Linked DNA regions of Caenorhabditis elegans. The protein of the gene in region 2 purifies or fractionates together with the protein of the main gene of each other region. This does not show direct contact. Each region holds a gene or a part of one and is shown on either strand. Other genes may lie near its edges.

Evidence for each region. Proteins that work in one complex are often made in the same cells at the same time.
Region 1: the proteins of T05A7.1 (region 2) and emg-1 fractionate together in Caenorhabditis elegans (co-fractionation; one large-scale study listed by BioGRID). This does not show direct contact.

The regions. Positions count from the first base shown.
Region 1 is NC_003281.10:10,647,476-10,651,230, forward strand, and holds emg-1 (Ribosomal RNA small subunit methyltransferase nep-1), read left to right. Parts: upstream 1-2,043; coding exon 2,044-2,410; intron 2,411-2,747; coding exon 2,748-3,076; 3' UTR 3,077-3,433; downstream 3,434-3,755. Other genes in the region: orc-4 (ORC (Origin Recognition Complex) subunit), read left to right, coding at 143-311, 703-816, 1,042-1,183, 1,236-1,338.
Region 2 is NC_003280.10:4,676,123-4,679,877, forward strand, and holds T05A7.1 (uncharacterized protein), read left to right. Parts: upstream 1-2,093; 5' UTR 2,094-2,095; coding exon 2,096-2,216; intron 2,217-2,275; coding exon 2,276-2,525; intron 2,526-3,023; coding exon 3,024-3,108; intron 3,109-3,157; coding exon 3,158-3,238; intron 3,239-3,286; coding exon 3,287-3,406; 3' UTR 3,407-3,513; downstream 3,514-3,755. Other genes in the region: T05A7.3 (CUB domain-containing protein), read left to right, coding at 1-126; T05A7.7 (EB domain-containing protein), read right to left, coding at 3,628-3,740.

The sequences.
Region 1 (3,755 bases), on a different chromosome or scaffold from region 2:
TTTTATAGCCAATTTAGCATGAGATATCCGTACAATCTTACGATAATTAAATTGGATAACATTTTCATTCCAAAAATGAAAATAAAACAAATAAAATCATATTTTTCGGCTTTTCAACCCCCATTAAAGTCCATATTCTCAGACAAGTCACTACGTCGTTCTGAAACAATTGGCCGCGCAATTCCTGATGCTTTTCGGTTACTATTGTGACGTAGAAGACACGTGGAAACCCGAGGAAATCAGCAAACAGATTCGTAAAATTGTCGAGACGACTTCTCCCTCGTATAATGGAAAATTGTTGATTTTAAAAGGTAGAAATTCTGCTAAAACTTTGAAAAAGGCAGAAAAAACCCACGATTTTCTAATTTTGAAAACAAAAAATGAACAATTCAAGTTCACTTTTTGAAATTCCGCAAAGAATTAAAAATTCTGATTTCAAATCTGGAAATTGAGCTGATAAAGTAATTTTTTACCTTTTTTTTTCGGAACAAATTTCAAATTTTAAACAACTTTAAAATGTAAAAAATCATGCAAAAATCGTGATTTTCAATCAAAACCTATTTTAATCTTTACAGCTTTTGAAATTTTTCTGAAAAATTAAAAAAATCCGGTAAAATCTAGAAAAAACTAATTATATACTGTTTTTTCGGCTCAAAAATTTAATAATTCCAGTGAAATTCTAAAAATTTTTCAAATTTTCAGATCAAACAGTTCGAGCACAATGCGTTTTTCTTTGTGTCTGGAGACTTGTGCAGAATAAAGAGTCAGATGGACCACTTTTGGCGCCAAAAACTTCGTATCGAAACGTTTTTCTAGGTATTTTTTAAAATTTATCTCGGAATTTTCGATTTTTCGAATTTTTAAAAATTGAAAAACGAAAAATTTTTCGATTTTTTGAATTTCCGAAAAATTAAGAAAATGTTCAGAAAATTAACCATAAAATATGATTTTTTTTAAATCTAATTTTCGATTATATTGATGAGAAAAAACATGAAAATTTTAAGCTTATTTTTTAAAAATCTATTTTCTCCGTAATTTCAGAATTCAAAAAACTCGTTAATCAACACTATCCTCCACTGAACGTGAGCAGTGATGTCTACGTATTCCGAGAATTGGATCATCTCGTTAAAATGGGAATTTTGAAGGCAGACGAGAGCACAAATGTGACAAATACCTCGTTTCGGTGGGTTTTTTTTTCAGCTGAAAAATTCACCTCAAATCCTCTTTTTTTTCAGAAAAGTTTGGCTTCATATCAATGATAAAATTGTGGAGGACTCGATCTCGAAGTTGCAGCTCCCGCGAGTTGTTTCCGACTTTTTTATGACTATTTTGAAGTAATTTTGATATTTTTTGTACTATTTGCAATGAAGATTGATCTCGATATTTATATTTTTGTTGAGTTTTTTTTTCTGTGAGAATTATTTTCGGTTTAAAAACCATCATATTATTTTTTGAACTTGTTTTATAAAAATCTTTACAGGAGCTTCAAAAATCGAAAAAATAAAATAAAACCATTTTTCGTTAATTCAAAAATCCCGAAATAAAATATTTAGTTAAATTTTCATGTTTTAGGGGAAATTCGACAAAAAAAGGAACTCACTGAAATTTTTGAAAAACCGTTCAAATTTACAAATTTTTTCGTTTTTGAGTTTTTGAGTTTTTTGATTTTCGACTTACATTTTCTCCGCAGAAATTTTTCAGTGTTTTTGACGAAAAAATATCGAAAAACGAAAAAAGAAGTGAAAACTTTTAATTTATCAAAAATTATGTATATTCCTATATTGATAGATATGGAAAATTAGAAATTTTTCCAAAAGTCGAAAAACTCAATTTTATTTCCAAAAAAGCGGCATTTTTTCGAAAATTTTACAGAACGACCTATCGTTGTTCCCACAGCTTTTATTTAAAATTTGTGCTAAACTATAAAAAATCACAATATTATTCAGAAAATAATTTTTTTTTCATCAGAATTATTGAAAATTCGATTTTTGGTCCTAAAAAAATTACTTTATGACAAAAAAAATTAATTTCTCCGAATTTCAGATGTCCCACGAGTACGATACAGTTGCACCGCCAAATGCGAAGCGCATGAAGACGGATAATCAATTGGAGGACAAGAAGATTTTGTACGTTGTACTGGAAGGATGTAGTCTTGAAACTGCAAAAGTCGGTGGAGAATACGCAATTTTGAGCAGTGATAAACACGCGAATTTTCTGAGAAAACAGAAAAAAGATCCGGCTGATTATCGGCCAGATATCCTACATCAATGCTTGTTGAATCTACTTGATAGTCCGCTTAACAGAGCCGGAAAGCTTCGTGTCTTCTTTAGAACGAGCAAGAATGTGCTCGTTGATGTCTCACCACAGTGCAGAATTCCAAGAACTTTTGATCGATTCTGTGGACTTATGGGTGAGTTTTTGGTTTATTGGAAATTGAAAAAAATATATTTTGAAGTGTTTTTGTATGTAAAATAAGAAAAAAGACAATTTTTCGAGTTTTTTAAAAATTATTTTTTATCAAATTTAAACATAAATTTTTAAAAATACCCTTTTCCTTTTAAAAATACCCGGATTCAAAATACCCCAAAATAGTCTGAAAATCAAAAAAAAATTCACAAAAAAGAGCACAAAAATCCAATTTTCAAAAACATGCTTTAAAATACTTTTTATTGGATTTTTTGTGACTTTTCTTGCAATTAGGTATTTTTATGCAAAATCCCCCTATTTTCTATTTTCCATATTTTCAGTCCAACTCCTGCACAAACTCTCCATTCGAGCCGCCGAAACCACTCAAAAGCTGATGTCAGTAGTGAAGAATCCAGTGTCGAACCATCTTCCAGTGGGATCCCGTAAGATGCTCATGTCGTTCAATGTACCTGAGCTAACAATGGCTAATAAGCTTGTTGCACCGGAAACCGACGAGCCTCTGGTCCTTATTATCGGTGGAATTGCTCGTGGAAAGATCGTCGTCGATTACAACGATTCTGAGACCAAGATCAGCAATTATCCATTGAGTGCAGCGTTGACTTGTGCCAAAGTGACCAGTGGACTTGAGGAGATTTGGGGAATTATTTAATTGATTTTTTGCAGTTTTTTCATTTTATTGTTGTCTGTTTTTGTTACTATCTTCATCTTATAAAGTGCAAAATCACTTTTTTTTTTCGAAAAAAAATGCCGTTTTTTTGTAAATTTCAATGTCTATTTCTTACTTTTACACTGAAATTGTTTTAAAAAAATCAAATATTCTAAAAACCCAAAAAATTAGTTTTTTCTTTGATTTTCCTTTCGTAGAGTTCTCTTTTTTTTTTATTTTTTCAGTTTTATTAGGTAGTAATTTAAAACGTTTTAAAATTTTACAATATTTGGCATAAAATTCGGCAAAAACTTTTTTTTTTCAGAAAAATTCTAAATAAAAAAGTCCAGGAGCCTAACTTTTCAGTTTTTACCAATTTTTCAGACAAAATCGAAGAATAATCGTGAAAAATGCGATTTTTTCGCTAAAAATACGGTAGCTGGTATCGAAGCGACAATTTTTTTAGTTGCAGAAGGATGTGCGCCTTTAAAGAGTACTGTAGTTTTAAACTTTCGTTGTTGCGGAATTTTTATTGATTTTTTGTAGTTTTTCGATAAATTATCGATTAAAAAAAAAAGATAAACTCAAATAAAAAATTAAAAAATACAAGAAAACTGTAAAATATTATAAATTTCAACATAACTGGAGAAAAACTGTAAAAAAATTTGAAAAAAAAAAACAA
Region 2 (3,755 bases):
GTTTCTCTGACGCGATCTTCATCGTTGGGAAACTATTACAGCAGCTCCAACACAATGACTGTCTCTTTCACAAGTGGGAATTATAATGGATATCGTGGATTTTCAGCAAAATTTTTATCCTTCTAACTAAAAAATCATAAAATAATAAATCATTGGAATTATTTTTAAGAGTTTTCCACAAAGAAGCTTCAGAGTTTTGAAAAAAAAAGTCACGAGAATCGTATCTTTTTGATCCGCAATCATATTGGACCAACAAGTAGGTACCCAGACTCATTGACTCATCTTCACGAGTGCACAAGCAGCTGACTACCAATCACTTGTCACCGTAAATTCTCGTTCTCTAAACTTCTGGTCTATGATTGCATCGGCTATGATCATGATCAACATCAAGTTTACAAGTTATTATATTATTTACTAATGTGTTTTTTGGATTTTTGGCTTTAGAAAATAACAATTTTGAGCACTTGTGGGTATTTTGCTCTGCATCAAAAAAACCTTTAAACCGATCTTTAGTTGGAAAAATTGATTTGAAATATTTAAAAATGAGTCGACAGAATTTTGTGACTTTGGGGGCTGAAATTTCGAATTTTTGAAAGAAAATAAAATGAGAAAGTGATAAAAATAATTAACCCAAAAATTCCCGCGGACATCAATTCCAAGTTAGTTCACACCAAATTGGTAATCGTTGACAAGCATTTTTACGAAATGAGCCAATATTTGTTATTAAAATTTAGTTACAGAGTCTAGAAAAAACATTTGCTTTAATTTCAGTTGGAACAGTTTTAAAAAATGCTCAAAAATTGTCTGAAAGTCGGAAGTTACAGGAAAAAATGTCGCATTATTTGTCAATTTTTTCCATCAATTTTCAACTTTCAAACTATACGTGAGCGTTTTTCAAAATTTTCAACTGAAGTTAAAGCTATCAAATGTTTTTTAATGCTCTATCAATAAATTAAAATGAAATAGTCCAATTTCAATTCATTTTTTCAAATTCAAATTTCTTATTGAAATCTTATTCACTTTTTCTCGAATTCCCCAATAACTGGTTTTTATCAGAAATCAAGAATGATATCACTTTCAATTGACAAATGAGACAATTGACGACGGCAGAAATTGTGAGGTCATTGGTTTTTGGCAGGAAATCTAATTTTTAACAAATAAAATTCTATAGTCTATTGTTACAGAGAACACATTAACTAGTATTCGAGTAGTTTGGACCCATTGATAAACAATATTGATAAGGTTTTCGCGATCTGTTCATTTTGCATGTAGATATTGTCTTGATATTTACTAGGTTTATATAATGCGATTTTCAAACATTTGTGAAAATATTTTTCTTTAATCCTTTAACCATGATCCGTTTGCTAAAAAATAGCTGTGAACCTCAGCAATTGACCATGTTTTTCCGTAGTTTTTTGAAACTTCACCAACGTCACGAATTGTTTGTTTTTGTAGGAGTCTTGGCCATTTGAACATATTGGTTAGCGGAATAACACAAAAAACAGATAAATTATCTAATCTTGTATTTAGGTGGAGTGCTTTGTTTTGAAAACCTATCCGCCAACGTTTTTTTTTTAAATTTCTATTTCACTTGCATTCAATGATATCCTATTCAAATAAAAACATTTTACACCAAAAATTAAACTGATGCAGTAGCATTTCTCTGAAATCTTTAGATCAGAAAATGGTTTGTCAAAAATTATACCATTTTTCTAGATTGTATGACTTGGGCAACCAGCTATCCACCCCCATCTAAAAATTTGCATTAATTAGCATGTATTTTTCCTCTCGTTCACAAAATCTGAATCGATTTCCTAGCGGGTCTAGTTTTATGTGTGCTAATAATTTTTGATCTACACATAAATTCGTTTTGATTTTTTGACCTTTTCTTCTTTTTCATTTTATGTTATTTGCCATAGAAAGTAAATTTGAAAATATTTTATCAAACCGAACATCAACCCTGCCTTTGACCGACGTTATTTTAAATTGTAGCCTAAAAAACCAGATTTCCAAATATTTTTTCTCCCTTCGCGTTTCTCTATTTTCCATCTCAATTTTCTGGATCAATGATTTTTTTCAAGTTCCGAATTTTCAGATGCGGTTAAGTATCCAAACCATTCTCTCAATAATTATTGTCACGTTATCATCTGGAATAAACTCATCAAAATGTCGGGATGGAGTGCATAATGTCATTACAGTGGATTCATATGGAAACGGTTAGTTTTTGAAAAGTTTTTACAGTCATTATTTCATCTGAAAAAAATTGAAATTTCAGAAACTCTCCCAGTGGAAATTCGAAATATCCGAATCCATGTCTACGATCATGATATGAAGCCGTCGTGTTACAAGCGAAAAGTGAATGTGGTGATGCCAGGATGGTTTGTGATCAAGAGTGGAGAAGTAGATACATCTCGAGATTTCGATGTTGTCAAAGACGGAGCAGTGTCTGTCAGTGTCGCGTTGGATGGTGATCATATTTGTTTGAACGGACATTCAGATATGTTCATTGTTCCCGAGTCGTTGTGGTTGGTTTTTGCTTTTTTCTTTTGCTTAGATGAACACTTGAATCAGGGGTGGGCGGCAAACAATTTTTCGGCAAATCGGCAAATTTTTCCGATTTGCCTAAATTGTTGGATAAACGGCAATAGCCGAAAACTTTCGACTAATTGTGGTTTTGTACTTTTTTTGGAAAATTCAGAATTTCAATTTTAATCGACAACATTGCACGCATCCTGAAATGAAACGTACTTTGAAAATTAAGCAAATTCTATCAAAATATCGAGAAAAACGGCCAAAAACGGCAAATGCTGCCCACCCCTGGTTTGAATGACATCCTGAATGCAATTGCAATTTTCTGGAAATATTATAGTTGACAACTTTTTATACACTTCTGCCAGAAAATTGTCTTTGCAAATTTTTTCCTATTTACAGCATCTCGGAAAGTTTTTGACCCAATTTTTGGTACTATTTATTTACAGTACTAAAAAATTCCTAATTCTGTCTAATTTTTTTAAACATTTCAGCAACTTCGAGATGAGCTCATTTTTCCCGGTGGATATTTGTAAAACACTTCAACAAAAAGGACTTCATACATTGAAAGAGCTCGAGGTATTTTGGTTCTGATCGTATATTTAGGTTATTAATTTAACAATTTCAGACAAAAAATGCATTCAATGCCACGTTGGAACTTCCTGCGTCTCCAAGCTTCTTAGGAATCTCATTGTTAGATGTGATGAAGGTTAGCTCTAGATTTTTGGCGAGTCTTCCCAAATTGAACTTTTTGCAGGGCAACTATCGAATCAAAATCTCTATCGCATCCGAGGGCAAGAAAATCGTTGAATTTGCCCTTCCAACGGGTTACACAGATCTCAAAATGGGGCTCAATGAGAAAGACGACGAAGATTAAAGCTCAAGCTTGCATAAAAACTAATTTTCCTGTCAAAAATGCATATTCATATTTTACTAGCAACCATTGTTTTCGGGTATGTCTGTGAATAAAAGTGTAATCTTCCCTGGTTGTGAGATTTAAGCTTGAATTTTTTTAAATAACAAATTTATTGACTAGAAGAAAAATATATATTTACATTTAAAAAATAACCAAACCAGACTTTACAAAAACTCGAATAATCATTTTCCATACATCTGATTCATCATCATCATGTTTGGTGGCATTCCATTTGGCAGGCACCTTCCAAATTGACAGATCATTCCCATTGGACAAGATATTAGGTTGTGGCAAGCTGAAATATTTTTAA